Linked DNA regions of Alligator mississippiensis. The protein of the gene in region 1 interacts with the protein of each later gene in a biochemical or structural test. Links are inferred from orthologs where the notes say so. Each region holds a gene or a part of one and is shown in the gene's direction. Other genes may lie near its edges.

The links.
Region 2: of the proteins of IFIH1 (region 1) and TRIM65, one has a biochemical effect on the other in vitro, tested with the Homo sapiens proteins (2 studies listed by BioGRID, with this or other methods). The link is inferred for Alligator mississippiensis from reciprocal best matches to the Homo sapiens genes IFIH1 and TRIM65.

Annotation. Positions count from the first base shown.
Region 1 is NC_081827.1:219,323,111-219,338,119, forward strand, and holds the start of IFIH1 (interferon-induced helicase C domain-containing protein 1), read left to right. Parts: upstream 1-7,796; 5' UTR 7,797-7,922; coding exon 7,923-8,369; intron 8,370-15,009.
Region 2 is NC_081831.1:13,242,289-13,257,611, reverse strand, and holds the start of TRIM65 (E3 ubiquitin-protein ligase TRIM65), read left to right. Parts: upstream 1-7,807; 5' UTR 7,808-7,876; coding exon 7,877-8,323; intron 8,324-9,754; coding exon 9,755-9,850; intron 9,851-9,967; coding exon 9,968-10,201; intron 10,202-10,346; coding exon 10,347-10,515; intron 10,516-15,323. UniProt on the Homo sapiens protein: E3 ubiquitin ligase that plays a role in several processes including innate immnity, autophagy or inflammation.

The DNA of each region.
Region 1 (15,009 bases):
CGCCAGTAGGAACACCACCTTGGGCATCATGGTGCTGCTTCCCGTGCCGGGTGAGCGTGGAGCAGAAGCAAGTTGGAGAAAGGACTTGCCAACAAAATCTCAGAGCAGCCTACAAAAGAGACCAAAATAAATAAGCAAAAAGTTGTAAATCCGTAAAAACATCAGTTTGCAAATGCTCAGTAGGGAAGTGCTAGATCTCAACAGCTTATTTTCCTGAAGATTCTGTATGTGCTTTGATACCTGTGCATGAGCTGGGGAAAAGGGATTGAGCAGGTCTTCAAATTCTGTTTCGAGTTGTTTTAGAGCTTGCAAGGTCAAGGCACAAACCCAGGCACTGAGAACAGGGAGTTCTCCTCCCTACACCAGGAAGCAAACCCCAGAGGAGGGCTAGGTAACCCCTGGCACTTACCCAGAGCATGGCATGTAAAAGCATTTTGCTTGGCATTTTGCATGGCATGGATGCCTCAGGGCAGATGGTGGGAGAGCCGTGAGGGCCCAGTCCTTGTGAAAGCGCTGCCCTGGCTCCTTCCTTCTGCCTCGAGGCACACGTGCACCCGCCACTGGCAATGAGCCAGGCCAGGGCTCCAAATATGCAGCACGGAGAACCTTTTCACATGCGCTGCATGCATCTTGCAGTGCCTCAAAAACGTATGAGGCTCTGCAAAGCACATGTTCCCACTCATCTGGATGTGCCTTATTAGTTCAAAGGGCAGCAGTAAGTGTGAAAGTACTAGAAGTTCCTGCTTGTTAAAATTCGGGACTTTCTGGTTTTCCTAACTCTTGAGTGCTTGACTTTGCAACCTCAACAATCTAAAAAACCTATTTTAAATGTAATGTGTTCCGTTATAAAAGATTCTTGTGAGCTGTCTTTTTCCTCCTTCCTCCCCAAAAGATGCAGACCTTTTTGTTTGGTAGAGAGAGAAAGCTAACATGCTTTCGCTAGAGAAGTGCTTCTTCTTTGTCCCATAAAATTTCTGGCCATGCCTATTTGATTCATGAATGCTAAAAACACCACATTTCCTCCTGTTGCTTGGATTCACAAGGGTAACTTTAGTAGATGCCAAAATAACTGAAGTGAACAATAAAGAGCCAAATCCTACTTGGTGTTAAGGTAAGTTGCATGTTGTGGTAAGAGGGGAAAGCCACTGCATTCTTCCACTGCACCTCTTACATCTATGTTCTCAACCTGTCCTCCCACTGAGGGGCACATGGAGCAGGATCTCCCCCAAGTCCTGTGGGGAGAGGCTCTTCCTAGTTTTGCCCCAGACTTGATGTTGTTGCCAGTGATCCATCATTCTCTCTTGCCATTAACTAGTGTAAGTAGTGCTACAAGGAGAAGCCTGTACTGATTTTAATTGGAGTTAAGTACCTTTGAAAATCCCACTAGGCCTGTATCAGAATCTGGAGGTGCTTAAATACCTTTAAAAATCTGACTGTGATGTTTATCTCCCTACAGCACTATTCCAGGAATAATGACTTGTGTCAGTGCTAATAGGGGGTAGTACACCAACTAGGTTGCTCAGAAAAAGTAAGGTGAAGATGTTACTTAGCAACAAGGATCTTCAAACAGAACTCCGCTCCAAATTGTGAAGGAAAATGACTAAATCAAAAAATGTAAAAACAAAAGGCTGGTGCAATGACTGGTGGTGATGGTAACATATTGGAGAAAGGAAAAAAGCAAGCTTTGGGAATCTTTCAGAAAGTAGTTTCCAGAAAAATTGAAGCAAAACTAGAAATAAAAAGAGGTCAATAAAGGCAGTAATTAAAACTACGTAGCTAATGATTGTGAAAGGAAAATGAAAGGAACACGTAGATCCGGGGCAGAGAAACCAAACAGTGAAAAAAGCTGAACACAAAGGAATATAAAAATTAAGAGGGAATTTCCAGGTCTGTGTCTAATTATTGTCCTAGACTAAACATGTTTTCCAACATTATACTGAGCTAAATCTAAAGCCTGCTAAAATCAATGGAGAAACTCAGACATCAACAGGCTTTGAATAAGACCCAGAGTTTCTCACCAAAGGCACCAAGTGATTTTCAAATACAAATTAAACCACATAATGTACACTGGAATACTATTATTAGAATATTTTATAGTTGAGGAAATTTGAGACATAAAGGACTGAAGAGTGACTTGAATGGCAATACTAGAAAGTAATATTATGTAGAAGCTTGTGTTTTTTATAGATATTCAAAATTGGTCACCTAAACTAGAACTCCTAATTGGCATTTACAAACCAAGAATACTTGGCAGTCTTCAATACTGATGTGAGTGCAGAAATGTGAAAGGGGAGCTGAGATTTTGGTTGTAATTACAATACACAAATACCAGTAGAAAAGATTAAAATGCTAACACTAGCTTTTGGAAAGTTATGTTAGGTGAAAATCAGTATGCCTTTTTCAGTGGCAAATCAGATTTTTCTTGGAAGTCATGGGTTTGTGATTATGTTAATTAGTAATTGATTTAACAATGAACATTTTGAGGCACAAATATTCTAAAAAGTTAGTATTTATGGATTCCATATATAACAATCAGATAAATCAATCAATTTAGAACAAACAATAAAAAAGATCATGTAAAATGTTTAGCACTTGATCCTTCTTTATGGATTTGTGTTAATCTCTTGAAGGAATAGGGCTTAAGTGTTTTTGATTACTCTTACTAAACAAAGTATCCCCAATATGTGTGCACACATGTACAAGAAAAGGTAGGTTAGTTCTGGAGGGGTACTCTACACCCTGGGATAGCACCTTCCCTTCACTTCCACATCTCCACTCTGAATTGGACAGAACAGTAAGTTTTGTGGGGTTTTTTCTTACCTAAAAATGACAAGAAATCCTTTAAAACACAAACCCTAATTTTGGGTGCATATTCATATTTAAATAATCTAATAAAGTCTCTAACAGTCAAATGATTTCAGATTTTCCAGCAGAGATATAGATAATCACAGCATTGTTTTACAGACAGTACTGTGGAGATGTACCACTAACAGGGTTTTTTTCTCTTGTGTCTTTTGTGTTCTTCTGTACACCCATAATCGGTGATGCACAGCCCCAATGACTTCTTTGCAAGTCCTGTGATTTTTAGTGAATTTAAAAAAAACCCTCAAGTGCTGGAGTCAAGCAGTTGCATAAGAATCTCAGCTGTCATTAAAAGAAGACTGAGTATCCATAAACTACTGAGACGGGCAGATGGGAGGGGGCGGGGGTTACACTGCTGCTCTTGCACCCCCCCACTTTTGATTTCTGTTCCACCCAAGGTTTAAAGTCAACTGGCGGACAGCAGCATTTCTAGTCAGGCTGTGCTGAGGGAGTCAATTGACTTTAGGTCTCTTTGTATCATAGTATCATAGTAGCTAGAGTCAGGAGGGACCTGAACAGATCACCTAGCCTGACCCCCTGCCACAGGCAGGAATGAATGCTGGGTTCACAAGACCCCAGACAGGTGATCATCCAACCTCCTCTTGAATTTGCCCAAGGTAGGGGCGAGGACCACTTCCCTGGGAAGTTGGTTCCAGATTTTGGCCACCCTAACTTTAAAATATTGCCTTCTGAGCTCCAACCTAAACCTATTCTCCATCAGGTTATTACCATTGTTCCTTGCCACCCCAGGTGGTGCTGGGGAGAAAAGGGCTCTGCCTATTTGCTGTTGATCTCCCCTGATGAGTTTGTAGGCAGCTACCAGGCCCCCCCTCAGCCTCCTCTTGCTGAGGCTGAACAGGTTCAGGTCCCTCAGTCTCTCCTCATAGGCCCTGCCCTGCTGCCCCTGATCATGTTAGTGGCCCTCCTCTGGACTCTATGTTGTCCACATCCCTTCTGAAGTGCAGCGCCCAGTACTGGATGCAGTACTCCAACTGCAGCCTGACCAAAGTCGCATAGAGGGGGAGTATCACCTCTCTGGACCGGCTTGAGATGCACCTTTGGATGCATGACAAGGTATGGCTGGCCTTGCTGGCTGCAGTCTGGCATTGGCAAATCGTGTTAATCATGGAGTCAGTAATGACTCCAAGATCTCTTTCCGCCTCTGTGCTTTCAAGAGGGGAACTCCCCAGCCTGTATGTATGTATGCTGTGGATTCCTTCTCCCAAGGTGCAGCACCCTGCATTTGTCTACGTTGAACCCCATCCTATTCTTGTCTGCCCACTTCTGTAGTCTAAATCTAGTTGCAGCCTCTCTCTCCCTTCAAGTGTGTCTACCTTGCCCCACATCTTAGTGTCATCAGCAAACTTGGACAGCGTGCTTTCCACCCCCTCGTCCAAGTCGCTGATGAAGATGTTAAACAGTGCAGGCCCGAGGACCAAGCCCTGGGGTACCCAACTGCTCGCATCTCGCCAGGTTGAGTACAACCCATCCACCACTACTCTGGGTGCGCCCCATCAGCCAATTTTTTACCCATCCAACCGTGTAGGCATCAAGGCCACAGTCGCTTAATTTATTGATGAGGATGGGGTGAGAGACAGTGTCAAAGGCCTTCTTAAAGTCTAGAAAGACTACGTCCACAGTGACACCATCATCCAAGGATTTAGTTACTTGGTCATAAAAGGCAATCAGGTTGGTCAGACAGGACCTGCCTTTGGTGAACCCATGCTGATTGCCCCTGAGCATGATCTCCCCTGCTGGCTCCCCACACATGTGCTCCTTGATGATTCTCTCCAAGATCTTCCCGAGCACCGAGGTGAGGCTTACAGGCCTATAGTTACTTGGGTCCTCCTTCCTCCCCTTCTTGAAAATTGGAACCACATTAGCCAGTTTCCAATCCCCTGGCACCTGGCCAGATGACCACGAATGCTCATACAGCCGGGCCAAGGGCTCCACAATGACCCCTGCCAGCTCCCTCAACACCCTTGGGTGGAGGGCATCTGGACCTGCAGATTTAAAAATGTCTAGCCCTTCCAGAAGATCCCTAACTACATCTGCTCTGACTGAAGGTCTGACAGAGCTATCCCCAAGATTGTCCCTACCTCTGGTAGGTGGGATGTCCCGGTCCCTGTTCAAGAAAACAGAGGCAAAGAAACTGTTAAAAATATCAGCTTTCTTGTCTGGTGTAGCCACAAGATTACCATTTGCGTCTTGCAGGAGCCCTACATTGCCTGGTGCCTTCTTCTTGCTCCCAATGTACTTGAAAAAGGGACTTTTTGTTGTCCTTAATCCTGGACGCTAGCCTGAGTTCCATCTCTGCCTTGGCCTTCCTAATGGCCCTCCTACACTCCTGGGCCGAGGAGGAGTACTCCTCCTTGGTGATAGCTCCTCCCTTCTACTGGTTGTACGCCCCCTTTTTAGTCTTCAGGAATTCCTGAATGCCCCTGCTGAGCCAAGGGGGTTTCTGAGCACTCTTACCCCCCTTGTAATCTACCCGATTCCTTCTAAATATTTCATTCCACAGGTGTTAAGGACCCTCTCTTCTTTTTAATGGTCTTGAGGTTCCATGATCAAGCTGCCCGTTCTTCTGCAAATCTGCTGTCTGTTAGCTGCTCCTGGTAAGGAAGCTCCTATTTCACAGCCCTGCAGATTGTTTTTAACTCATTCCATTAAAGTTATATTTGTTTTTTTTCAACCTTAAAGTGAAAAATATTGCCCTAGGTCCCTGGCATATTTGTAAAGCTTCTAGTTTACTTTTAACTGGAGAAAAATATGTTATTGTATATGTGATACTTCTGGAGGGACTGGACATATTTAAATCAGCAGGTCTTGACAATCTCCACTCCAGAGTGCTGAGGGAATTAGCAGAGGTCATTGCGGGACCCCTGGCACAGCTTTACGAGCACTCGTGGTGCTCTGGTGTGGTGCCAGAGGACTGGAAAAGGGCCAATGTGTTTCCCAGTTTCAAAAAAGGGAGGAAGAAGGACCCAGGAAACTATAAGCCTGTTAGTCTTACCTTGATCCTGGATAAGCTTTTTGAGAGAGTTATCCTGGCACATGTCTGCAAGGGGCCAGCAGGGGAGATTAGACTTAGGGGCAACCAACACGGGTTCATTAGAGGCAGGTCCTATCAGACCAACCTGGTGGCCTTCTGTGACCAGGTCACAAAATCCTGGGACGCAGGTGTCACGGTGGAAGTAGTCTTTCTGGACTTTAGGAAGGCCTTCGACACTGTCTCTCACCCCATCCTCATTAAAAAACTAGGAAACTGTGGTGTCGACACCTACACAGTCAGATGGGTCACTAACTGGCTGGAGGGCCGCACCCAGAGAGTGGTGGTGGACGGGTCATTTTCAACCTGGAGGGATGTGGGCAGTGGGGTCCCCCAGGGCTCAGTCCTCAGGCCCGCACTGTTCAACATCTTGATCAGTGACTTGGACGAGGGGGTAAAAAGCACCCTGTTCAAATTCGCGGATGACACTAAGCTGTGGGGAGAAGTGGGCACGCCAGAAGGGAGGAATAGGCTGCAATCGGACCCGGACAGGTTACAGGGGTGGGTGGATGAAAACAGGGTTTCAACACTGACAAGTGCAAGGTGCTGCACCTGGGGAGAAAGAACCAGCAGCAGACCTATAGGCTGGGGAACTCCCTTCTCATCAGTGCCAAGGCAGAAAAGGATGTTGGAGTCATTATTGATGCCAAAATGAACATGGGCCGACAGTGTGGGGACATGGCCAGGAAGGCCAACCATACCTTGTCATGCATCCACAGATGCATCACAAGTAGGTCCAAGGAGGTGATCCTCCCCCTCTATGTGATACTGGTCAGGCCGCATTTGGAGTACTGCATTCAGTTCTGGGTGCCGCACTTCAGGAGGGATGTGGACATGGAGAGGGTCCAGAGGAGGGACACTTGCATGACCAGAGGACAGCAGGGCAGGCCCTACGAGGAGAGGCTAAGGGACCTGAACCTGTTCAGCCTCCACAAGAGAAGGCTGAGGGGGGATCTAGTGGCCATTTACAACCTAGTCAGAGGGGACCAGCAGACTTTGGGGGAGTCCCTGTTCCCCCGAGCACTACCAGGAGTGACAAGAAATAATGGTCACAAGCTGGCAGAGGGTAGATTCAGGCTAGACATCAGGAGGCACTACTTCACAGTCAGGGCAGCTAGGATCTGGAACCAACTTCCAAGAGAAGTGGTGCTGGCTCCTACCCTGGGGGTCTTTAAGAGAAGGCTAGACGAACACCTTGCTAAACGACCCCAGTACTCTTTCCTGCCTATGCAGGGGGTCGGAGTTGATGATCTGCTCAGGTCCCTTCCGACCCTACCAACTAAGATACTATGATACAGCACCTCACCATTTGCATCCTCCTTTTCAACCTTCTAGGGGAATTTTGGGGAGGGGATATCGGCTGTGTTCTTTCCTATGCTGGTTTCCCATAAGGCAAGTTCGAAGTCTCTGCCCATGTCTTTGAGATGTTTAATGGCCTGGGCCTGGATTATCCAACAGCACAGGCGACTGGTAAGGGGGGACACGGGGGCAGCACATGCCCCCCCCCCCCGAGGCTGGCCCCTGACTTGGCACTGCTCAGGACAGAGCAGTTTTTTGCCCTGTGTGCCAGCGGCATGTTGGGGTGGGGGCACTAGGCTGTGGCACAGGAGTATAGTAGTGGATATGGGGCCCCCCAGACTCAGAAGGCGCCAGTCACCCCTGTCCAACAGATTGTCCAAACTCCAGCAGGAAGCCATAATTGATAACAATGAAACTTCCCATCATAAGATTGCAATAGCCAGCAGACAGAAGGGCCCTGCTTTCTGCAGAGCTAGGATCCTCCCAACCTGCGCCGGCTTCCCTCCGCCGGCAATGGGGACTTCTCCAAGCTACCCGGTGCAGCGCGGGCCTCTGAGAAGGAACCAGAGCAGGTCCTCTGGACCGCCCAGCGCCGGGACCGGGGCGGCGCCTCGGCAGCAGCTGTGCCGCAAGAATTGAAACCGAAACCGCCGACCGGAGCCTTGATAAGCCCCGGCGCCGCCCGGGACGCCGCAGAAGCTGGGGAGCCGCCATGGAGGAGAGCACTCAGGACGAGCGCTACCTCGACATGATCTCCTGCTTCAGGTCCCGCATCAAGGCCGGTCTGCGCACGGGGCCCGTGCTGGACCACCTGCCCCAGCTGGGCGCCGAGCGCGAGCGCATCCGCGCGGCGGCCGAGCAGCACGGGGAGCCGGCGGCGGCCGAGCTGCTGCTGCGCGCCGTGGAGCGGGGCCCGCACACGCCGGGCTGGTTCGCCGCCTTCGTGACCGCGCTGCAGCTCGGCGGCTGCGCCCTGGCCGCCAGCTACGCCAACCCCAGCCTGCGCGACCTGCCGTCCCCGGCCGAGGAGGCCGAGCACGACCTGTGCGTGGCGCTGCTGCAGGTGCTGCACGGCTCCCTCGTGGACCGGCTGCGGACCCGGCCGGTGGCCGACAGCTGCCTGCAGGCGGGCCTCGCCACGGAGGACGACAGGGAGCGGGTAGGTAGCGGGCCGGCGCCTGGGGATGTCCACCCCTCTAAAAAGCGTTCAACATGCACCGTCGTTTTTCCGAGGCAGCTAGTTGATGCTGCGTGTGCAAAAGCCAAGTCACCCTCAGAGAGTCTTAGCCAACTTCTGGGAGGGGGGTTGTTTTTATTTTTTAAGGAAAATTGTTCTTCCCAGCCAGATCGATTCCAAGAACCAGGTATGGTCCTACTGCCCTCAAACATCCTCCATCCCCACCTGGGGCTTCAGATGTTTCCAAATGATTTGGCCGGCTCAAGCGCCGATCCGGTGCCCCTTCCCCATAAGGCCGCAGGGGCGAGCTAGGGAGGAGTCTCCCAGTTCCATGAAGTCAGCATAAAGCCAAGATCTTCCCAAGGGAAATGAAAGTGGGAGGGTAACTATACATTACCTCTGCCAGAGCAGCGGTTATCCCCCGTCCGTGGGAGAACCAGCCTGGTGATCATGGTGTTTTCCCTGCCAACTTCCGGCTCTGCTGTCAGCACTTCTTATGACTGCTTGCCTCCAAATAAATAAATGCCTCAACTTTGACCCAACTCTCACTCCATGGGTGGTGTCTTACACTGACCAATATAAAGTGAGAAAGGAGACTTATTGCATACTTCTTTGCATATTTTTTCAGCGTGCAATAGGTTTTTAACAACTACGATCATTTTGAGCTTTCAATACAATTAATTTCATATTGAAGACCTGGCAATACTGTCTTTAGTTCCCAGGTGCCAGGAGAGGAGGACAGGGCTTAGCCTTACCTGCTCCCTCAACCTGTTACCTGGCCTCAGGATCACCAAGGCCTTGGAACAATAAACTAGTGGTGTTTTCTCTTCTTCACTGGCTGCAGTTGGTTCCTTATTGCCAGTTCCTTATTCCTGGCTCCCAGTTCCATTTTCAAAGATAATCTGTAGCCAAAAGCTTGTTATTAATGAATAACACGTTCTAAAGAGAGAGAATTTCACTAGCTATGCACAGTAACTGATTAATATGTAAAACAATATCCTATATCAAATACAGAGCTTTAAACGACGATAAAGTTGGGATGGGATTATTGGGCAAAATACTTCTTGGGCCAACCCAAACCTCCTGTTGATACCACTACCTCCCCAAATAAGCCTGAGCACTCTCCTGCCGGGCCCAAAGCACGGGTTGGCCCTGCCAGGCTGCAAACTGAAAGCCCACTGTACTAAGCATAATAGCTTGGATAAGGAATTGGCTTTTGGACTGGAATTATGGCTGGAAATCCTTCTTGGGCCACTCCACGACATGCCTTTGTACCACCAGGGACCTCTCCTGGACATCAGTGTCACTGACCTAAGTCTGGGCCAGCCAAAAGCGCAGTTTGGCCCTGCCAGGCTGCCAACTACAGCCCCCCATTCCCATTGTACTAAGTATCTGGGCTTGTCGCAGGGCACATCAGTGCCTGGCTCCTAAGGAGTGAAAGCTGCCTGGGAGAGAGCCTGGGCAGAACATAAGGGGGACAGCTGCAGGTTGCTGGGGCAACAAATGGGAGTCAGCTGGCCAGAAGGGGGCAGGGCCTGGCCCTTATAAAGCCCAGGGCTGAGGCCAGGCTGGCAGTTCTCAGCCAGCAGCCGGAGAGGCAGGAGCTCACTCAGCTCAGCTATGGGGAGAAGTCTGAGGGGCAAGTACAGCTCCTGATAGCCCTGAGAGGATTGGGCACTAAAGGTTTAGCCAGGGGGCTTTATGTTTGTGTTACAGCCAGGAGGCTTGTGTTTGTTTGGCTCTGTTATTACACCCGGAGGCTTGGGTGAGGCTGTAGGGGTTGGAGGAGGCCTCAAGCACAGGGACCCCAGAGAGTGTGGGGTGCCCTAGTGCCAAGAGGGCGCATTATTTGAATAGTGCCAGGGAAGGCGCAGCTCGCACGCCAGTGCGTGAGCAACTGGTGGTGAGGAGCGCGGCCAGTGGGTCGCGGGCGCAACCGGCGGGTTGCAGACGGGGGACCGAGACCCCAGATTGCATGCAGGGTACATAGAACCCAGCCCCAGAGAGGGGCGATTGAGCCCAAGTGGGGGCGTAGGACTTATAAGGACCTGCAGCAGTGTGCGGGGACCCCGACGCCCAGGAGGGCACAGCATACGGGGTGTATAGACCCAGCCCTAGGGAGGGGCATTTCTGAAGCCCCAGCGTGGTCGGGGCGAGCTCCCAGGACGGGGGCCATTTTGTAAGCCCAAGCGGGGCACAGCCAGACGCCAGTGAGGGCGCAGTTTATAGGGGCATAGACCCCGGCCTCAGAGAGGGGCGATTGAGCCCAGGTGTGGGCATAGGGAGCTCCAAAAAGGGGGCAGCATAGTGAGTCTCCAAAAGGGGGCAGAAGAGAGATGACAGCACTTACATCTGCGAGGCTTGGGCTGCGGTATTAGGGGAGGTTGGAACCGCAGAGCACCCCCCGGTATCGGGGCATTATAATGGGCAGCCTCCCGCTAATTAATTAATTAACATCAAGATGTGGCAGGCGAGAAGGCGGGCGGTTGCCGCAGGAGCAGGTGAGCGGGCCACAACTTGGCTTGGAAGCGATGCCTGTTACAGGGCTCAAATAAAGAACTGGCTTTTGGGCTGAGATTACTGGTGGAAATCCTTCTTGGTCCACCCCACACCATGCCTCTCTGACACTGAAGGACTCTCCCAGACATCTCTTACCAGAGTCATGCCTGGCCCAAAGTGCAGTTTCTTTGTGCCTGGCTGCTAACTGCCAGCCTCCCCAGCCACTGTACTAAGTATATGGGCTCAAATAAGGAACTGGTTTTGGGCTGGGATTAGAGATAGAAATCCTTCTTGGGCCACCCCACACAATGCCTCTGTACCACCAGGGGACTCGCAGACATCCCTAATCAGAGTCTTGCCTGGCCCAAAGCGCAGCTTGGCTGTGTCAGGCTGCCAACTGACAGCCTCCCTTGCACACTGTAATAAGTATATAGGTTCAACTAAGGAACTGGGTTTTTGGCTGGAAAACTTTTTGGGGCCGGCCCACACCATGCTTCTGTGGCACCGGGGAACACTCCCAGAGTACTCTGACAAGAGTCCAGCCTGGCCTAAAGCGCGGTTTGGTCATGCTGGGCTGCCAACTGACAGCCCCCCATTCCCAAAGTGTGGGTTGTTTCTGCTGGGTTGCTAAATGACACCCGTCCCCGCCATGCCAACTACATTAAGAATAATGGCCCGAATAAGGAACTGGCTTTTGGGCTGGGATTATGGCTGGAAATCCTTCTTGGGCTACTCCACAACTTGCCTCTGTACCACCAGGGGACTATCCCAGACATCCATGATCAGAGTCTTACCCGGCCCAAAGCACAGTTCGGCCATGCCAGGCTTCCAACTGACACCCTCTCCCCCTACCCCTCCAGCCACTGTACTAAGTGTATGGGCTCTGTAACAAGCGGGTGTCCCAGGGCCAGTCAGTCATTGGCCTGCCTACTTGTTTCTGGGCTAACCACCTGCCGTTTTCTCCTGCCATGCCTTGATGATGATGATGATAATGATTATATGATGTTAATCAGGCAGGAGGCTGCCCATGTACTTGCCCTGATGCCAAGGACTGATACACATAGCTCCGACCTCCCCTTACTGTGTCCCATGCTTTGCAGATGGCATCCATGGCCTAGCACCCGGCCGACTCGTATTCCTTTGGGCTCTTAGCCCCCTATCATTACTGTCCAGCTCCCAGTCTGGCTCAGGACCCTCATCATCTCCTTAACTCAATGCTCCCAGCCCCTACCATTTATTCTGGGCTCCAAACCCTGTCTCTGGGCTCCAAGCCCCATCTCTGGGATCAGGGCTCCAAGCCCCAGCCCCTGCCCTCCCTGAGCTATAATCCTTTATCCCCTTGACCCAGGAGCTCTACTCATAGCTCCTACCTCCCTGGAGCCTCATTCCCAGATCCCTAGTGCAGCCTCAGAGCTCAACTGTGAATTTGGGTGCTGCCTCAGGTCCCCCTACCTGACCTGGGCCCTGCTTCAGCACTCACAGTGAGTCTGGGCTCCCCCTGCTTGGTCTTACTACCCACCAGGGATGTGGGGGCTGGGGTTATAAGGTGCCCCTTACTCGCCTTTCACTGGCAAGGTGACTGGCCTGGCATTTCCAGGGACTACCCTACCATGGGCTGCCCCACCAGACCATCCTAGTCCAGCAGGGTATAGTTTTCTATTGTACCCAGGACAGGGAACCTCCTTCCATCCCCGTAGCCCACCCCAGACCTCCAAGGTGTTGTGAGCAGCAGCTCCAGCCAGTGATGTCCTTCCGGCTGCCAGCAGCAGACTACTGGCTCTGCTGTTTAGGGCCCTGCTCTTATAGGAAACAGCTGGGCCCTGTTCTCAATCAGGCAGTCCTGCCTAACTGGAGTTGCCACCAGCTGCAGGCTACATAGCTGCTGCCCACGCATATGTGAGTAACAGAGCATACTTTGTGCTCTGTTACAGGCTCAAATAGGGAACTGATTTTGGGCTGGGATCAGAGATGGAAATCCTTCTTGGACCACCCTACACCATGCCTCTGTGGCACTGAGGGATCCTCCTGGACATCCTTGACCAGGGTCTTGCCCAGCCCAAAGTGCGGCTTGGTCCTGCCAGGCTCCAATTTACTCCCCATCCTTGTGTGCTATTTAAGGAGCTGCCCTTCTGTTGGGATCATGGGGCAAAACCTTCTTGGAATCATGTCAAAACACATCCCTGCTACCAAGGGAACCTCCTAAAGAAATCTGGGCATGTGCTTGACCCAATGCATGTTTTTGAGTGTGAGCCTGCCAGTTGACACTCAGCCTTTAAGACTGTATATTACTTTTCTACCAGGCACTGGACAGCAGGAAGAATGGTTGCATGCAAATATAGGGCACTTATACACATGGTGGACCTCTGCTCTGATGCATGGTATTTAGCACCTGTCAAAGCAGACTTGATTAATCAAGCCTGCTGGCAGTCTGCTGGAGTGTGCTTATTAGTGTGCTCCACCAGCTTCCACATCATGTGTATTCACTGTGCCTGCATTTCAGAACAGCAGCGGGGGTACTTTAACTAAAGGTCATTGAACAAGATTTAGTTAAAGTGTCCCCATCGCTATTATTAAGCATGGAATGCTGAATACACGTGACGCTGCAGACACTTTAATTAGAGTCAGAGCCATTCGAATTAAAGTGTCACCCCACACTCCACCCCGGAGCATGTGTATAGATGCTTCTAGGGATTTTTCACCATCTTTTCATGTTTACCTTCAGCTGCCACCCAGAAGCTTAGTAAAGTAACTTAGAACTGGGTGTTGTAATTTAAAGAAACCTGCTCACTCACTAGCAAATATTAAATTAAAACAAGTTTATTACAAGGGAAAAGGGAAACAGTGGTACTCCCTAAGCAAAACCTTAACTATTAACCTTTAACTGTAGCTCAGAACTGATCACAGTCACAGTCAGTGGCAAACCAACCTGGGGAGCTCCCTCTTAGCCTGCTCACTTGAGAAGGGAGTCTCACCCAGGGCTGCCATCCAGAGGCTCTACCACCTGCACTGGCTTAATAGTAAGTTTTGGGTAGGAAAGACCACCACAGAGACTCTGTTGCTCCCCACTGTCAGGGGCTCATAGACTTATAAAAGCATAGAGAAGTAGGGTTGGAAAGGGCCCCTAGAGGTCGCCCAGTCCAATCCCCTGCCTCAGGCAGCTTCATCCCTATGCAAACCATCCCATTTAACCATATATCATAGACCTAACACCCAAACCTGCCACAAGTAAAGCAGGGGAACTATGGGAGCAACTGTCCTGCATTTATGAAATGTTATCAATATATGCTCCAGAGATTCCCAGGTAGAGGCCACACCTTCGCTATAGAAGGCGGCAAAAACTCCCACAGTCCATATGCCAACTTGACCATGGGGTAAAAGTCCTTCTTGATCCCAAATACAGCAATCAGTCTGATCCTGAGTGAAGGGCAAGACCCTCTAGCCAAGACTCTCTGACTTTGCTCCTAGCAGGAGAATCAGCACATTCCAGTTCAAGTCAAGCATATATATTCTCAGCAGGGAACTTGAGGACCTCCTACGCCAGCACACGAGGCCATTTTGTTTGGCACGCCATGGCCAGCCCCGGCCCCGGCTCTGGGTAGCTGCCCAAGGTGCACGCGGAGTCACCACCAGCATGGAGCTGATGCCAGAGCTGTGGAGCCTGGTGTGGCTGTTTGCAGCCTGCCTGCTGCTTGCTGCAGCTGCCTAAACAGCTGGGCTGGGCTCTGAAGCCCAGTCACCAGCCCTATACCAGGAGCGGGGGAGAGATGGGGTTGCTCAGGCCCCTTCCCCACCGCCCGCTCCAATGCCCGGGTGCACACGCTGGTACAAAGCTGATGCCGGGGCTCTGGAACCCAGCACAGCTGTTTGCAACCTCCCAGCTGCAGCCAGCCCTGGCTCTGGGTAGCTGCTGCAAAAAACGTTGCCTACCCCTGTCCTACACCTAAAAAGAGAGACTTATAAAGGATGGAAGGCTGGAATCACCACCAAGGAGGAGTACTCAGCACTGGTCCATGCCTGCAGGGAGTGGACCAGGAAAGCCAAGGCTGCAACCAAACTCCATCTGGCTTTACATATCAAAGATAATAAAAAGTCCTTTTTCAACTATGTAGGGAGTCAGAAAAAA
Region 2 (15,323 bases), on another chromosome or scaffold:
GCACACAAATCAGGACAAAAATATATTTTTTAATCAAATTAAAATCAGTTATAGTCAATGTTTGATTTTTTTTTTTTTAGTATATGATTTGTTTTCTTTTATGGCTTCTGTCAGAACCCATTAATTGAATGCCTATGGCACAGTGGAAAATCCCCGAGCCCTCGTGATTGGCACAGGAAAAATTCTGCCACAGTAGAAAAGCCCGCCAAGTCCAACAGCCGCATTGTTCAAATGAGCGCCACCCATTGGCCGGTTACAAATTATTCCTACTTGGCAACTTACGATTGGCTTACCAACCATATAAAAGTAAAAGCAGTTTCTGCCCAAGTTGGAGAACTCTGGACGCACCCTGGAGTAAACTTGGCGGACTGATCACCCACCAACGACTCCCCGTCACCGACCTTCCCGACGTACCCCCTCCCCTGCATGCTTGATAAGCCGTCTATAAAATATCTCACAGATTCATAGATTCATAGATGTAGGGTCGGAAGGGACCTCAATAGATCATCGAGTCCGACCCCCTGCATAAGCAGGAAAGAGTGCTGGGTCTAGATGACCCCAGCTAGATGCCTATCTAACCTCCTCTTGAAGACCCCCAGGGTAGGGGAGAGCACCACCTCCCTTGGGAGCCCGTTCCAGACCTTGGCCACTCGAACTGTGAAGAAGTTCTTCCTAATGTCCAATCTAAATCTGCTCTCTGCTAGCTTGTGGCCATTGTTTCTTGTAACCCCCGGGGGCGCCTTGGTGAATAAATACTCACCAATTCCCTTCTGTGCCCCCGTGATGAACTTAAAGGCAGCCACAAGGTCGCCTCTCAACCTTCTCTTGCAGAGGCTGAAAAGGTCCAGTTTCTCTAGTCTCTCCTCGTAGGGCTTGGTCTGCAGGCCCTTGACCATACGAGTTGCCCTTCTCTGGACCCTCTCCAGGTTATCCGCATCCTTCTTGAAGTGTGGTGCCCAGAATTGCACGCAGTACTCCAACTGCGGTCTGACCAACGCCCTATAGAGGGGAAGTATCACCTTCCTGGACCTATTCGTCATGCATCTGCTGATGCACGATAAAGTGCCATTGGCTTTTCTGATGGCTTCGTCACACTGCCGACTCATGTTCATCTTGGAGTCCACTAGGACTCCAAGATCCCTCTCCACCTCTGTGCCACCAAGCAGGTCATTCCCTAGGCTGTAGGTGTGCTGGACATTTTTCCTCCCTAGGTGTAGCACTTTGCATTTCTCCTTGTTGAACTGCATCCTGTTGTTTTCTTCCCACTTGTCCAACCTATCCAGGTCTGCCTGCAGCTGTTCCCTGCCCTCTGGCGTGTCCACTTCTCCCCATAGCTCATCTCGTTCCAAGGGGCCCTCGTTACGTTTGTAACCGCAACTTAAGCCAGTTTTCTTCCTGCGCTGCACGCATCAGCGGCGTAAGTAACAATCTATTTGCAACCAATACGCGTCTGTGCCTAATTCCACTCCACCCGTCGAAGTACCCACCTGATGTTCTGGGCTCTCGGCCACAGCCCATCAGCAGCGCTCGGCTGCCACATGGCGTCACGAACAGGATCTGGGGAAGATGCGATGGAGTCGGAACTAGTTAAAAACTGCCCCTGACGCAGTGGGGGGCGCCGCGTGACGAACGCTGATGAACTATGGGCACACATTGCCTATCACCAGGCGGGCGGAGCAGGTGAAAGGCTCGTCAGCGGCTACCTTTTGCTGAAAGGGGAAGAGGGAGTTTTGAGAGAGTGGGAGGCACATCTTGACCCCGGGGCATTCGGGTGCGTGATGAGCAGCGAGCGAGTCCTATTTAGGCCCCGAGAGGAAGTAGGCACCATATCCCTTGCCAGAGTCAAACCGACAGGCGCGGTACGCCCGCTGTATACGATATGTGCGGGAGGGCGGAGAACCGACACCGGTTGACAGGTTCAATCCTCTGGCCCTAGTGCCCGGGTCGAGGGGCCACGAGTTGCTCTCCGATCTCCGGGGAAGGTTAGAATTGGAAGGCCACATCACAACACGGTGGGCAGGCCCAAAGTGGGATAAGGGAAAAATGCTAAACATAATGTTCCGCACTGTCACAACTCTACTGCGGGAAAATGCAAACTTAGAGGCCCAACTGCTCACAGCTGCCCAGGCAGCTAAAGGGGCAGCAGTAAAAGAAAGCCCCGAGCCGCCGCCATCCCAAGATGCCGCCGGGAAAAAAGAGAAGCGCGCGAAAATTCCCCAAGAGGGATGGACAGCCACACCACCACCCACGGCCCCACCTCCCGAAGTGGCGTCAGCTGCAGCCCCACCCCCCGAGCCTGCCCCGCCTCCAATGTTCCCGCCTCCCTACAAGAGCAAAACTTTATACCCAGCCCTCCCACCAGAGGCTCCGGCAACCCTGACAGTAGCCGCTAACCCCGTCGCCCTGGTTAAACAAGTGACTGACGCTCAGGGCGCGACGCGTACTACCACCACATACCGCACCCGCACTCGAGCGGAACTACAAGAGCTGTGTAAAGAATCGAAAATAAAACCCGGCGAACCGCTAGTCATATGGCTAGGCCGCCTCATAGTAGAGTTTGGGTCCAACCTGTTAGACCTAGAAGAGGCTTGCTTCTTAACCCGCCAAGCCTCATGGAGCGGAGGACACGTCACTGACTTAAACGTAGTCATAGGCAACGTCCATTGGAATATCCCGCTCCCGGCCCTTGTCGCAGGGTAAGTTGATCACAAGCCTCATGCCTGGCACGACGGATGGCCACAAAGGGCCACTGCAGAACAGCTTTTATTAGCCATAATTGGAGTCTCGTATGCCTCGTAGAATCCAAGAGTGCATCAACTGGGACTAACACAGGCCCAGCGTAATGGGGGATGGGCCCACCGCCACTTAAGAAACCCTGGAGCCGTCCCGGCAACCCTCGAAGCTATAGAGGCCTGCGTAGAAGTCTATGGGGGAGAGAACGCCATAACACTCCGGCTCCTCCTCAACCCACTAGCAGGCCAGCCAGCCGGAACCCTCTTGAGCCAACTCCCACGGCTGCAAGCCCTCGTGAAGTTAGCAACAGAGGCCTCAACTGATGCGACGAACTCACCCTCCACATATCCGATTGAGCCCCAAAACCCGAGACGCTACAAGTTCGATCCCCAGCGGGAACCGTGGCCAATCCCTCAAAAGTCACCCGAGGAGAGGGCCATGTTCGGGTTCCTCCTAAACAACTCCAAACTCACGAAACAGCAACTGCGTATACTGGGAGATGAGGGCCAACGACACCTAGCGGCCGAGTTAGGTTTCAAATTCTACGACAAACCAAAAAACAAGTAGTGGCCGCTGGCCACACCGGCAGCCAGCCTAAACCCGACCCTACCGACCTCCACCCCTACACCGAACTTACCGTCTACGACCCCGTTGACCAAAGCAACCAACGAAAAGTGCTCTTCCTCCTCGACACCGGAGCCCAAGTCAACGTAATCACTCCGACAACGCCCACCAGAAAACCACAGAAACAATTAAGGTTCAAGGACTCAACACTGTTGCAGTCACAACAAAAGTTAAGTTTATAATCCAAGGTCACCGTCGCGCTCTAGAGGCAGTGCTAGGGGACATCAGCCTCCTGGGAATCCCCAGAATCAAAGCCCTAGAGCTAAAAGAACAAGTGTTACAAGTCCTCCTGATCACCGTTCCAGAGACCGACCGACACAGACCCACACTCTGCAATATGTCCACGTGGCATTATAAACCCATCCCGTGCAATACTTCTCCAACAAGGAGGCTTATGCCAGTACCTCAATCTGTCCCGTGACATGTGCTGTATTAGCATTCCAAACATCTCACTATCCCTGAACGCCCAAATCGATGCGATTCGAAAAGTCACTGCCGATACAAATAGAATCTCAGGTATCGGACAGGGGTGGTTATCTGACCTTTTGCCTGGTTTGCCTGGGATACATCCTCGTGGTTTCTAAACCTCTTAACACCCTTATCACCCTGTTACTCCCTCTCATTAGTATGTGAATTTGTGTTTGTGTCGGTTGTTGTTTTATGAAGTACATTAAGAACAGGTTCATTTCATTATCTGCTTTTGTATATACCCACTTGCCGTATGAACCCCCCAAACAAGACGATGACGGCCTAACCGGCTTATGAGCAAATTAGTTCCAACTGTGCCATCGGCAAGGGGGCATGTCAGAACCCATTAGTTGAATGCCTACGGCACAGTGGAAAATCCCTAAGCCCTCGTGATTGGTGTGCGCGCCGGGTCAGACCCCGGGTCGCTTTCGTTGCTCTGCACGCGGGCTGTGGCCAGCAGCCCGGGCAGGCCGGGTCAGAGAGGGCGGGCGCCGAGCTAGAATTAGGCACAGACACGTAACAGTTGATTTTAAGATTGTTTTACTTACACCGAGATGATCATGGTGTAGGCTGAGAACTTGCTTGAGTTGCGGTTACAACAAAAAACACGAACACACGTGGAGGTTGCAAGGCTCCACGCAGACAGAACACGACAAACTCCGGATGTCCAGGACAAGCGCGCATTAAACTCATCGTTACGTCTTATAGTAGGCTCCGTTCGAAGACGGGAAGAGGCGGGCGGTGGATCAGGCCGCCAAACCCCTCTGAGCGACACACAGGGTTTCTATTACCCTGCCGCGCACACCCAGAGTCCCCACGAGATGGATGCGGAGTCCTCTTCGGCTTGGGCGGAAACTGCTCAAGCCTCTTATACGGCTAGCAGGCCAATCGCTAGCCGCCACGTGTGAATAATTTAGAACTAGCCAATTGCGGGGCACGAATTTACATACGATGAGCGGGAACTCTTTGCACCGTGCATTTCTGTGTTGCAAAGGAAATGCACCCTGCAAAGATCGCTGCAAAGTGGCGGGAACACTCCCCTGCACGCGGGTTCTCTGCGCAGCAGAACTCCTCCGTGCAATGAAGTTGCAAACCCACGGGGATAATTCTTAGTGCCGAAGCACACACAAAAAAAATCAGACCTTTGGGTCATGACAATTGGCACAGTAAAAATTCTGCCACAGTAGAAAAGCCCGCCAAGTCCAACGGCCGCATCGTTCAAATGAGCACCACCCATTGGCCGGTTACAAATTATTCCTACTTGGCAACTTACGATTGGCTTACCAACCATATAAAAGTAAAAGCAGTTTCCGCCCAAGTTGGAGAACTCCTGACGCACCCTGGAGTAAACTTGGCGGACTGATCACCCACCAACAACTCCCCATCACCGACCTTCCCTACGTACCCCCTCCCCTGCATGCTTGATAAGCCATCTATAAAACGTCTCGTCTCGTTCCAAGGGGCCCTCGTTACGTTTGTAAGTGCAACTTAAGCCAGTTTTCTTCCTGCGCTGCACACATCAGCGGCGTAAGTAACAATCTATTTGCAACCAATACGCATCTGTGCCTAATTCCACTCCACCTGTCGAAGTACCCACCTGACGTTCTGGGCTCTTGGCCACAGCCCAGCAGCAGCGCTCGGCCGCCACAGCTTCAAGGTGGTGGTACCCCCCCACTCCCACAGGAGTACTTTTGGGGGCAAGGGGAGGGACTTTTGTGGCAAAGGTCAGGAGTTAGGGGATGGGACTTCTGGCCCCAAGGTGGTGAACAGGGGGCAGGGCTACTCTTACAGCCTGCCACAGCTCACCAAAACTCATTAAGTGGCCTTCCAGCCAAAAGAATTGCCCGCCCCTGTTCTAGTTACACCAAGTCATTCAAGGTCAAGGAGAAAGGTATCTTCCCTGCCATGTCTGTAAAACCTCTTAGGCCAAAACCATCATCATAGTATCCCCCCTGCATCCTGTCTGCCCCCCGGCCCATTGTTTTTCACTCCCCACCCTCCCTATGATGCTTCCATTAGCAAGGAGCAGCTGGTTTGTCACCACACACTGTGAACTGCTTGCCACTGCGTTGGGGCACCGCAGTCATTCATTGCAGCCTAGAGGGGGTAGCTATGGGCACTGCCATCTTTGGACCTCCCGAAGAACAGGCCCAGGCACTCCCCTGATACACGGCAGGTATTTTGCATGTGTGACACACAGTCGGGTGGTGACATTCTGCTTTCCCAGCTGGATGCAGCATGGTGGGAAAATGCACCATCATGTTAGGATGTTGCATTGCAGCTCAGGCCACTGCAGGGCTTGGGGGCAGTGCATCACTGTAGAAGGAGGCGGCACCCTGTGGGTGCTGTGATTAAGCTGGCCTGCAACTAGTACTTCTGTGGTTCAAACCAAATCTTTTGGTCCCCAGGCCAGCAGCTGGCAGGTGTACAGCATTGAAAGTCTGCAAAGGATCTCAGAGAGAGTGTGGCTTCTCTGATTAGCAGGGATCTGGGTTTTCTATTTCCCATGGAAAACCAGAAAAAAAACTGAAGCTTTTCCCTTTTATTTGAGAAAAACGCGAATTTTACATTTTAACGGAGAAACCCATGGATTTTCCATGTTTGCAGAGCTGTCGGCAGGCTGGCAGATTTCCAGCCTGCAAGGGGCCGGGGGGAGCGGGAGGAGGGTGGCCACGTGCATGTGCACACTCACACACGCACATGGCTGTCAGGCAGGCTGGAGAGCAGCTCTTGCAGGTAAGTCTGGCAGGGGGAGGAGGGGAGACTGAGGCAGAGCCCTGGCGAGGAGCAGGACGGGGCCACGGGCGGCTCATCGGGGTGGAGGCTGGCTCCCTGCCGCTGCATGCACTCCTGGAGGGGGCAGTGGGACCACGTGCCCCCCAGATTAGGGCATGGGGCAGGGGCAGATGTGGGCTGCAGGCTCAGGCTTCCTATCCTGCTGCCCTCTCCCCAGAGCCTCTGCAGCGCAGCAGGTGGGACCCAGCGCGGGAGGGCAGAGCGGGGCCAGGCAGGAAAGCTCCTTGCAACTGCTGGCAGCTGCACACTGCCATGGCAAGATGCCCCTGCCCACCGGGCAGCAGTGAGGGGCACAACTTCATGCTGCTGCCCCTGCTGCTGCTGGGTGGGCAGAGGGCACCTCACCAGGACAGTGCAGGGCTCCCAGTGGCAAGGAGCTTCCCAGCCCCGCTCTGCCCTGCCCCCAGGTCCTGGGGTCTGGGGTCCCACCGGCTGGGCTGCATAGGCCTGAGGGGAAGGCAGCAGGGTGGGGATCCCCAGCCCACCGCGGGCAGTCCCCTCCCCCATGGGTTCTGCTTTGGCCATGCCACCCATGGAGGAGGGGGAACCAGGCTTCGTGCTCCGCTCCACTGCAGCACCGACCGCCTCCCATGGGCGACAGGCAGGGCTTGGGCATTGCTGTGGGTGATGGGCGGCTGTAGACCTGGTCCCTGGCCCCATAGCCCTGGCAGCTGGGGGCCCCCTCCAGAAGGGCTTGGAGGGCATAGCAATGGGTGGCGAGGGGCTGCAGGGCTCTGCTGGGTTTGCAAGAGGCAGCCTTGTCCCCTGGCCCTCAGGGCTGAGCAGAGACACTCACCAAAGTCTAGAAAGCATTTTTTTTTTTTTATATAAAACATTTTATTAGAAAACCAGACTATAACAAAAGACTCAAAACGACCCCAAAACAGAGGCCTCACAAAAGGGTAATACAACATTTCAAAGGTCTAGAAAGCAGCTACCAGACTGAACCAATTGCTCCGCAGTCAGAAAGCAGCAGGTACAGCCACCTGGGCAGCCTTCTCTGTGTAGAAGCCCCCTTGCTATGGGTAGCCCTGGGGCATGGGAACTATGGGCTTGAGGACAGAGGAAAACTCTCAAGCCACCTGCCAAAGCTGGGATGCGGAGAACAGTGCCCAGGCCTGTGTGTCTTTAAGAGCTGGTTTGGCTCCGTGCCTATCCCTCCCCTCTGCCTGACACAGCAGCAGTCTCATTTCCTCTTCTCATCCTGTAGGTTCCTTGCTCTGCCTAGGTGGCTGCTGCTCCGGCTTGGGGCAGGATGGCTTCCCCAGGGTCCCAGAAGCTGGAGGAGAAGCTGGTGTGTTCCATCTGCCTGGAGCTGTTCAGGGAAGCTGTGACCATCCCGTGCGGGCACAATTTCTGCCAGAAGTGCATCAGCAACCACTGGGACAAGCAGGAAAAGGAGGATCCCCAGGGAGAGGAGAGGTTTACCTGCCCTGACTGCAGGAAGGGCTTCAAGACACGGCTGGAGCTCAAGAAGAACGTGTCGCTCTGCAGCGTGGTGGAGCTGGTCAAGGCGGGTGAGGTGCAGGCCTCCAGCACGGACGTGAAAGCCCCGGCTGACAGGGGGAAGTGCCCGCGGCATGGGCGGCCCCTGGAGCTGTATTGCCAGGAGGAGAAGGTGTGCATCTGCTGTGTGTGCACCGTGAAGGAGTGCCTGGACCACCACAGGGTCCTTTTTGAGGAGGAGCGCAAGAAGAAGCAGGTGGGTCCTGGCTCGGTCTCCTCTGGGACCTGCCCCACATCCGTCAGGCCCTGGAGAGAGAGGCGAGCTCTGATAGAGGGGTGCTGTCGAGGTCGGGGTGCAGGCACTGCTGTGCCTAGAGCCTGGGCTGGGACACCAGGGTTCTCCATCAGACCCCGGCTTGCTGCGTGGGGCCTGCATTGCACATGTGCCCGTTCCTTAGTCCAGAAAGGACAGCATCCCAGCCCATCTACACTAAAGCATCTTGAGACCTTCCACTGTTTCACTACCCAGAGGCTCAGCTCAAGCGGCTGTTTTTGGGCAGTGGTTACTAGTGTCAGGCTTCTCCTTGCTGATCTGGACTGAACTTTCCAGGGCTCCTGCATTTGAATGTCGCAGTGTCCTGGTCAGGGATTTAAAATGAATACTGTTTACTTACGGTCTTGCACACGCTGGAATGACTGTCTCTTCTCCACGCAGCAGGGGCCCTGCATGCCTGTCTTCTCCATGGGTCCCAGTCTGCCACCCTCCCACCCGTGCCAGTCTCAGGGCCCTTAACCTTCCTAGCCATGCCACAGACTCCTGGCCCCGTGTCCCCCTTCCCCTATACCAGCATCCTGCACTCCCCCATCTCCCGCTCACTCCATGCGAGAAGCCCTGTGTATCCCCATTGCCAAACTGGTTACCCCTCCTGTTTCTTTCTGGGAGTTATGTCCTGCAGAGAATCTCGAGGTTGAGATAGCAGGTGTTAGGTGGGAAGCTGCTAGTGGGTCTCATTGCATCTATACAGATTCTGAGAGCGATGCCTTGGAGTGGAGTATCAGGCACTACCGTGTTTTTCTTGGCTCAGCAGAGTCAGCTGCTGGGCAGATACACCTGCTGCATGGAAGGTCAAGAGGGAGTGACCTCCCTTTCCATGGACAGGTAGAAGGACCACGTGCAGGTCTGCCTCGTAGCGGCCCAGCACTGCGGCCTTTGAGCAGCATCAGCTGAGCAGTGACCAGAGCATGTGTGGGGAAAAGAGGACCCCCTTGTATTTGGATTCACAGAGGGGCAGTAGTGAGTTTGAAGGGGAGACAGTGCCGTGCAAAGGCCAGGGCTCAGAAACCACGTAAAATCACGTAACCACGTAAAATCACGTAACCACTTCTGCTCTCATGGCTTCAGTTGAGCACTACTGCCAAACAAGGAGGGGATGCTGACACTCCTCTCTGACCTGCCTCAAAATGCGCAGATGCCAAGCGCCATGTAAGTGTTAAATGTTTAGTATTGGTGATGAGGGGAAAAGAGGGAGAGTCCTTGCACAAGGGGTGGGATGTGGAAAGCTGTGGGAGCCATCACTGTGGAGAGGGGCTTGAGCAGCCAGGGGGAGGTTCATGTGAGATAAGTATTACACGAGTGCTGAAAACTATGCTCCGCTATGTTACAGCTTGGGCTTTACTCCATTTTCAGGCCCTTTTAGAAGAGTTATTGGAGAAGACACAACAGGAGGCAGCAAAGATCGAGGAGGAGAAGCATAAACTGGAGGAAACAACGGAAGACATTAAGGTATCCAGGCAAATGCAGCTGCTGGGCTCGTGGGATTGCAGCCCTGAGCATGGCCTCCCCTCCTACTTGGCCTGTGGATTCTTTGTCCTGTTGTTTCAATTGACTTTTTCTGCCCAGGAATCTTCAGAAAAGCTGAAATCAGGGTTTTTGAACAAGTTTGCCCTGATAATTGAAGCCCTGGAGAAGCAGCGGAGGCAGGCAGTGGAGAGGATCGAACAGGAGCAAGCCACTGCCCTGGGGCAAGTAGCGGAGAACTGGGCCCAGCTGGAACACCAGCAGGCCACCCTCAGCCAGCACCAGGAGAAGGCCTGGGCCCTGCTGGCCTGCACAGATGACAGGATATTCCTGGAGGTATTGACAACCAGCCACAGCAAGGGGAGGGGAGGGAGGTCCTGCCTCCTTCAACCCAGAGGAAGAGGGATTGAGGGAGCGACTGCCATGGAGCCTTACACACCTGTGCCCTCTGCCCTTCCTCTCCCCTTCCTGCCCCATCTAGGACTTCTTGCAGCTCCCTTCTGAGACCCTGGAAGCTTTGCCAGCCATCGAGTTTAATGCTGCCAGCAAAGTGGATCCCATCTCTAAAATCCTCACTGAGGTCTCTAGGCTGTTGTTGGAGGATTTGCCCAAGTGCCTGAACCCAGAGGTCACTGGCCCAGAAACCAAAGGTAAGCTCTGCCCTTGGTGACATTTCCCCCACTGCCTACAGGTTGCACTGGTGGGGGCAGTGTCATCCCAGCTCCGTGAGTCCCCACTCTGAAGGGTCCCTGTACTAGAGATGCTGCACCTGGGTGTTTGGGTGGCTCAGGCACCGCATCATGAATGTCACCCCCTGCACTTGGCCCCAGGTGGGGTCACTTGGCCACCCCAGGCCTTAGTAGTAGTATTATTTAATATTTAGGTTGCAGGTTTGCCTGAAGATCGAACCCCTATAGACTTACCCTAGGCCAGTGGTTCTCAGCCTTTTTAGACTCAAGACACCCTTGGATTGACTTGAGGCACCCCTTAGATAATGCCAGCTCATAGTTTTCACTCTTTTTTTAGGCTAAAGAAAAATAAGAGAGCAGTTTTCTTGTTGCAAACAACTCAGAGACCCCCACGATGGCTTTCTTATTTAGAATTTTTTTTCAAGATGGCAGCCGACAGGTGAAGCCCCTCTGAGCTCCTGCAGCTCGAGTGCCTTTTGTGCGTTCCCTGCACTCCGTGCCCCCCTTTTCTGTCCCCACCCCCCCAAAAAACCTTGCCTCTACCCACCCTGTCCCTGGGGACCCCTTCCCCCCCTGCTTTCTGAGCGTTTTTCCCCTGGGCTCTGGCAGCCTCGTTTGTCTCTGCCCCCCGCCTGAGTTCTCCCTGTGATTCCTACTGCCCCCCTCCCCCAGGGCCCCTTCCCTTGGTCCCTGCCATCTCCCCTGCCTTGGGGCTTGCCCTGCCCCCCCTCAGGCCGATTTTGGGGCGTTTTGAGCCCAGTCCCAGTCCCAGTCCCTGGCCTCAGCCTGAGGCTTTTTTTTTTCCCCCTCCCGGGAGAGAGTTAACCCTCTCCTGCCGGGATGCCTGCCAGCAGCCAAGGCACTTGGCATGGGGATGTCTCTGCAGACCTTCCTCTCAGCCATGGCATGCGGGTGCATGCCCCTCTCCACGTCACGGTGGAGGACTGCGCCGGGGCTCTGGTGGACCTGCTGGGACGCCGGAGTGTGTAGTATGCCTCCCGGGTCAATTCGGTGCCCATTATCTATCTGAGCTCTCCCAACCTGGTTAGGGAGGTGTGTGCGGCGGGGCTGGAAGTCTCGGGGGTCCACCACTTGGTCACACCCCTGGAGACCCTGGCAGTGCGGGTGGTGGCCTCCAACGTGCCCCTGCACCTGTCAGACTGGGACCTCACCAACGCGGTTGAGCACTATGGTGTCCTCGCCAGCCCCTGGCGCAGGCTGACCATAGGGAGTAGGAACCCCAAGCTGAGGCAGATCCTGTCCTTCCGGAGGCAGGCGTTCATGCTCCCCAATGGGGACACTCAGAAACTGCCTCCCTCCTTGACTTTTGCCCTGCAAGGGAGGTCCTACATGGTGTATTTCTCCCTGGGTGGGAATTCCTGCCGCTGCTGCGGCGGCAGCTCCCACCGAACTGCCCAGTGCCCGTTAGGGCGGTCAGCCGAGGCACCGGCTGCTGCGCCCACCCAGGAGGATGGTGCATCCACCTCGGGTGTGGGACCCCCATCAAAGGGTGGGGTTGGGAGACCTGCCAAGCCCCCCTCCACCCCTGCTCCATCCGAGGGGCTCGACCCCTCTGGCAGTGGCATGCCACCCAGGGGGGCCTGGGACATCCTCCCAGGTTTCTCCCGCCCCTGTCGTAGCGGATGCCTCTTCCGGTGGAGGGGCTGGGGAGTCCTCCCAGTCCCTTCCTGTCCCAGTTCTCCCCGGGGTGGCTAGAGTCTCGGGCGCTGGGGCCCTGTCAGGTGGAGCACCCGAGACCCTCCCTCCACCCCTGCCCCAACCGAGGTGGTGGACCTGGAGGTGGCGACACCCAAGCAGCCTGGCCCGCCCCCTACGGGGGAGGTGCCAGCTACTCCCCAAAAAGCGAAGAACAAGAAGTAGAAAAAAGGAGCGTCTAAAGGAGCTCCTGCCCCTTCGGGGCCTGTCTCAGACAGCACCGGGGAAAAGGCAGCCAGGGAACCTGAGCCCGCTCTGCCTGCCCCTCCGGAAACCCTGCCACCTCCGACCACGACTGAGGGTGTCCCAGAGACGTCTGGCAACCCCTCGCCCCCATCCCAGCCAGTGGGGCCTGTGAGTGGCAAGGCAGGGGTTGAGTGCCTGCCTCCCGAGCAGCGGCAGGCGGCGGAGAGTCTTGCCACCCCACCGCCCGCTCCCCTGCCTGCCGAGGCTGATGAGGAGGAGGAGGAGGAGATGGAGTGCCTGCCCTCTGAGCGCCGCAAGCAGCCCCGGGAGCGGGACAACATCTGCCCCCCAAAGCGGATGGGGATCGATCTCCCCGAGACGGTCCTCAACCCAGATAGAGAGGGGGCCTGCTAGGGAGCCTGGCCATTGAGGGCACTTTCACCGGTCTCACCGGGAAATCCCCTCCCAGGGTACAGCCCCGCCGGTTCTCAGTCAGCAGTATCCACCTCCTTCTGGAGAAACCCCCCTGGGTGGCTCCCAGCTATGGAGGTCTCAACCTCTTGGACCACACCAAGGGCCAGAGGAACGTGGCCGAGAGTATCCGGCAATGGTGCCTGGACCCTGCGCAGTTTGTCCGCGCCGCTAGCAACACGGCGAGGCTTATGCACCGGGACCCAGGCACGCATCAGCATGCCTTCTAGCTCGAGAAGCTGGTGACCCGGGTGAGGGAGGTGTAGGGCCGAGGCGGGCCCGCGGAATAGGGTGGGGCAACGCTAGGCCTTTCCCCTGTCTCCGCGGTTTTTCTGCCCGGCATCCATCACCTTCTGTCCCACCGGTACCCTGCCTACCCTTCCTCCCTCTTCTCCTGTTCATGGCGGTTACAACAATTGCCTCGCTCAACACCAACGGCTGCAGAGACCCGGTGAAGTGGATGGCCGCCCTGGAGGGCCTGCAGCAGAAGCGCCTGGTGATCGCCTTCCTCCAGGAGACGCACAGCGATGCGTACGTTCAAGCCGACTGGCACGCCGCCTGGAGAGGCCGCTTGTTCCTGAGCCACGGCAGCAACCTCAGCGCAGGAGTGGCGACCCTCCTCTCGCCGCAGCTGCAGTACAACTCGGCAGTGGCACGAGAGGTCGTCCCCGGCCGGCTGCTGACCGTCCACGTCACCCTGGCACACCAGAGCCTGCTCCTCGTCAACGTCTACGTGCCCACTGACGGGAGAGAGAGGGTCGCCTTCCTAGAGACCCTGGGCGACCTCCTGCATGACGCCAGTGAGAAGGACGACCTGCTCCTCATGGGCGGGGACTTCAACTGTACCGTCGACACGCTGCTAGTCTGGACAGGGCCGGAACCGCGCCTGCCTTCGGCCCGCAAGCTGCGGACCGTGCTGGAGGTGGCAGAACTCGTCGATGCCTGGCGGGTCCTCCACACTGATGCATGACAGTACACCTGGGCAAAGATGAGCGCCAGCGGGCTCGCCATGGCCCACCTTGACCACCTCTACATCGGCCAGCACCACCTGCCGTTCCTGCATGGCAGCCGCATCGTTCTGTCGGGCCTTTGGGACCACACCTTGGTCTGCTGCGAGCTGAGCCTGCCTGGCAGAGCACGCACGCGAGCCCCTTACTGGTGCCTCAACGTCAGCCTGCTGCAGGACACCCGCTTTAGGGACTGCTTCGCCCACCTCTGGAGGAGCTGGGAGGCGGCGCGAGCAGACTACCCCCCCGGCGCCTGTGGTGGGACGTGGGGAAGGTCCAGATCCGGGCGTTCTGCCAGCAGTATAGCCAGCTGGCGGCAAGCGAGCTCCGCTGCCGCACCCAGGAGCTGGAGGAGGACGTGGCGGAGCTCGAGGCGGCCCTGCTCCGCGCGGGCAACGACGTGGCACTCCTCGAGAGTCTCCGCTCCCGCAAGAAATGCCTGCAAGAGCTGGCGGAGGACGCAGCCCGCGGCGTGCGGGTCCGGGCCCACTGCCAGGAGCTGGCAGAGGCCGACGCCCCGACTGGCTTCTTCTTCGGTCTGGAGAGGCAGCGGGCTGTGGTGAAGACGCTGGACCACCTCAAGACCCCGGAGGGCCGGCTGCTCACAGACCCGGGCGAAGTGCGGCAGCATGCCGTCGCCTTCTACCAGGACTTGTTTGCAGCTGAGCCCGTCTGTCTGCGGGCCGCCCAAGAGCTGCATCGGGACCTGCCGCACCTGGGCGCTTCGCAGGCCGAGGCCCTGGAGCACAAACTCTCCCTGGCGGAGCTGGAGGCCGCGGTGGGGGGGCTCGCCTCGGGCAGGGCCCCGGGCCTGGATGGCCTGCCCATGGGATTTTACAGAGCCTTTTGGCCCCTCCTCGGGCCCAGCCTCCTCCGAGTCTTCCGCGAAAGCCTCGCCGACGGGACCCTGCTGACCAGCTGCTGCCGGGCCATGGTCACCCTGCTGCCCAAGAAGGGGGACCTCGGCTGCCTGAAGAACTGGCGGCCCATCTCCCTCCTGTGCGCCGACTACAAGATCCTGGCCAAGGCGCTGGCGAACCGTCTCCGCACCGTCACGGCCTCCATCATTGGGCCCGAGCAGAGCTACTGCGTGCTGGGCAGGACCATCCAGGACAACTTGTTCCTGCTGCGTGACCTGCTCACGGCCATGGAGCTTTTTGGCCTGGACATCGGCGTGCTCTCCCTGGACCAGGAGAAGGCCTTCGACCGGATCGACCACCAGTACCTGCTCGGCACCCTCGAGGCTTTTGGCTTTGGGCCGCTCTTCACTGTGGCGCTCCGGGTCCTGTACCACGACACCTCCGGCCTGCTCAAGGTGAACGGCGCGCTGTGCTCCCTGTTCCCTGTGCATCGCGGCATACGCCAGGGCTGCCCCCTGTCGGGCATGCT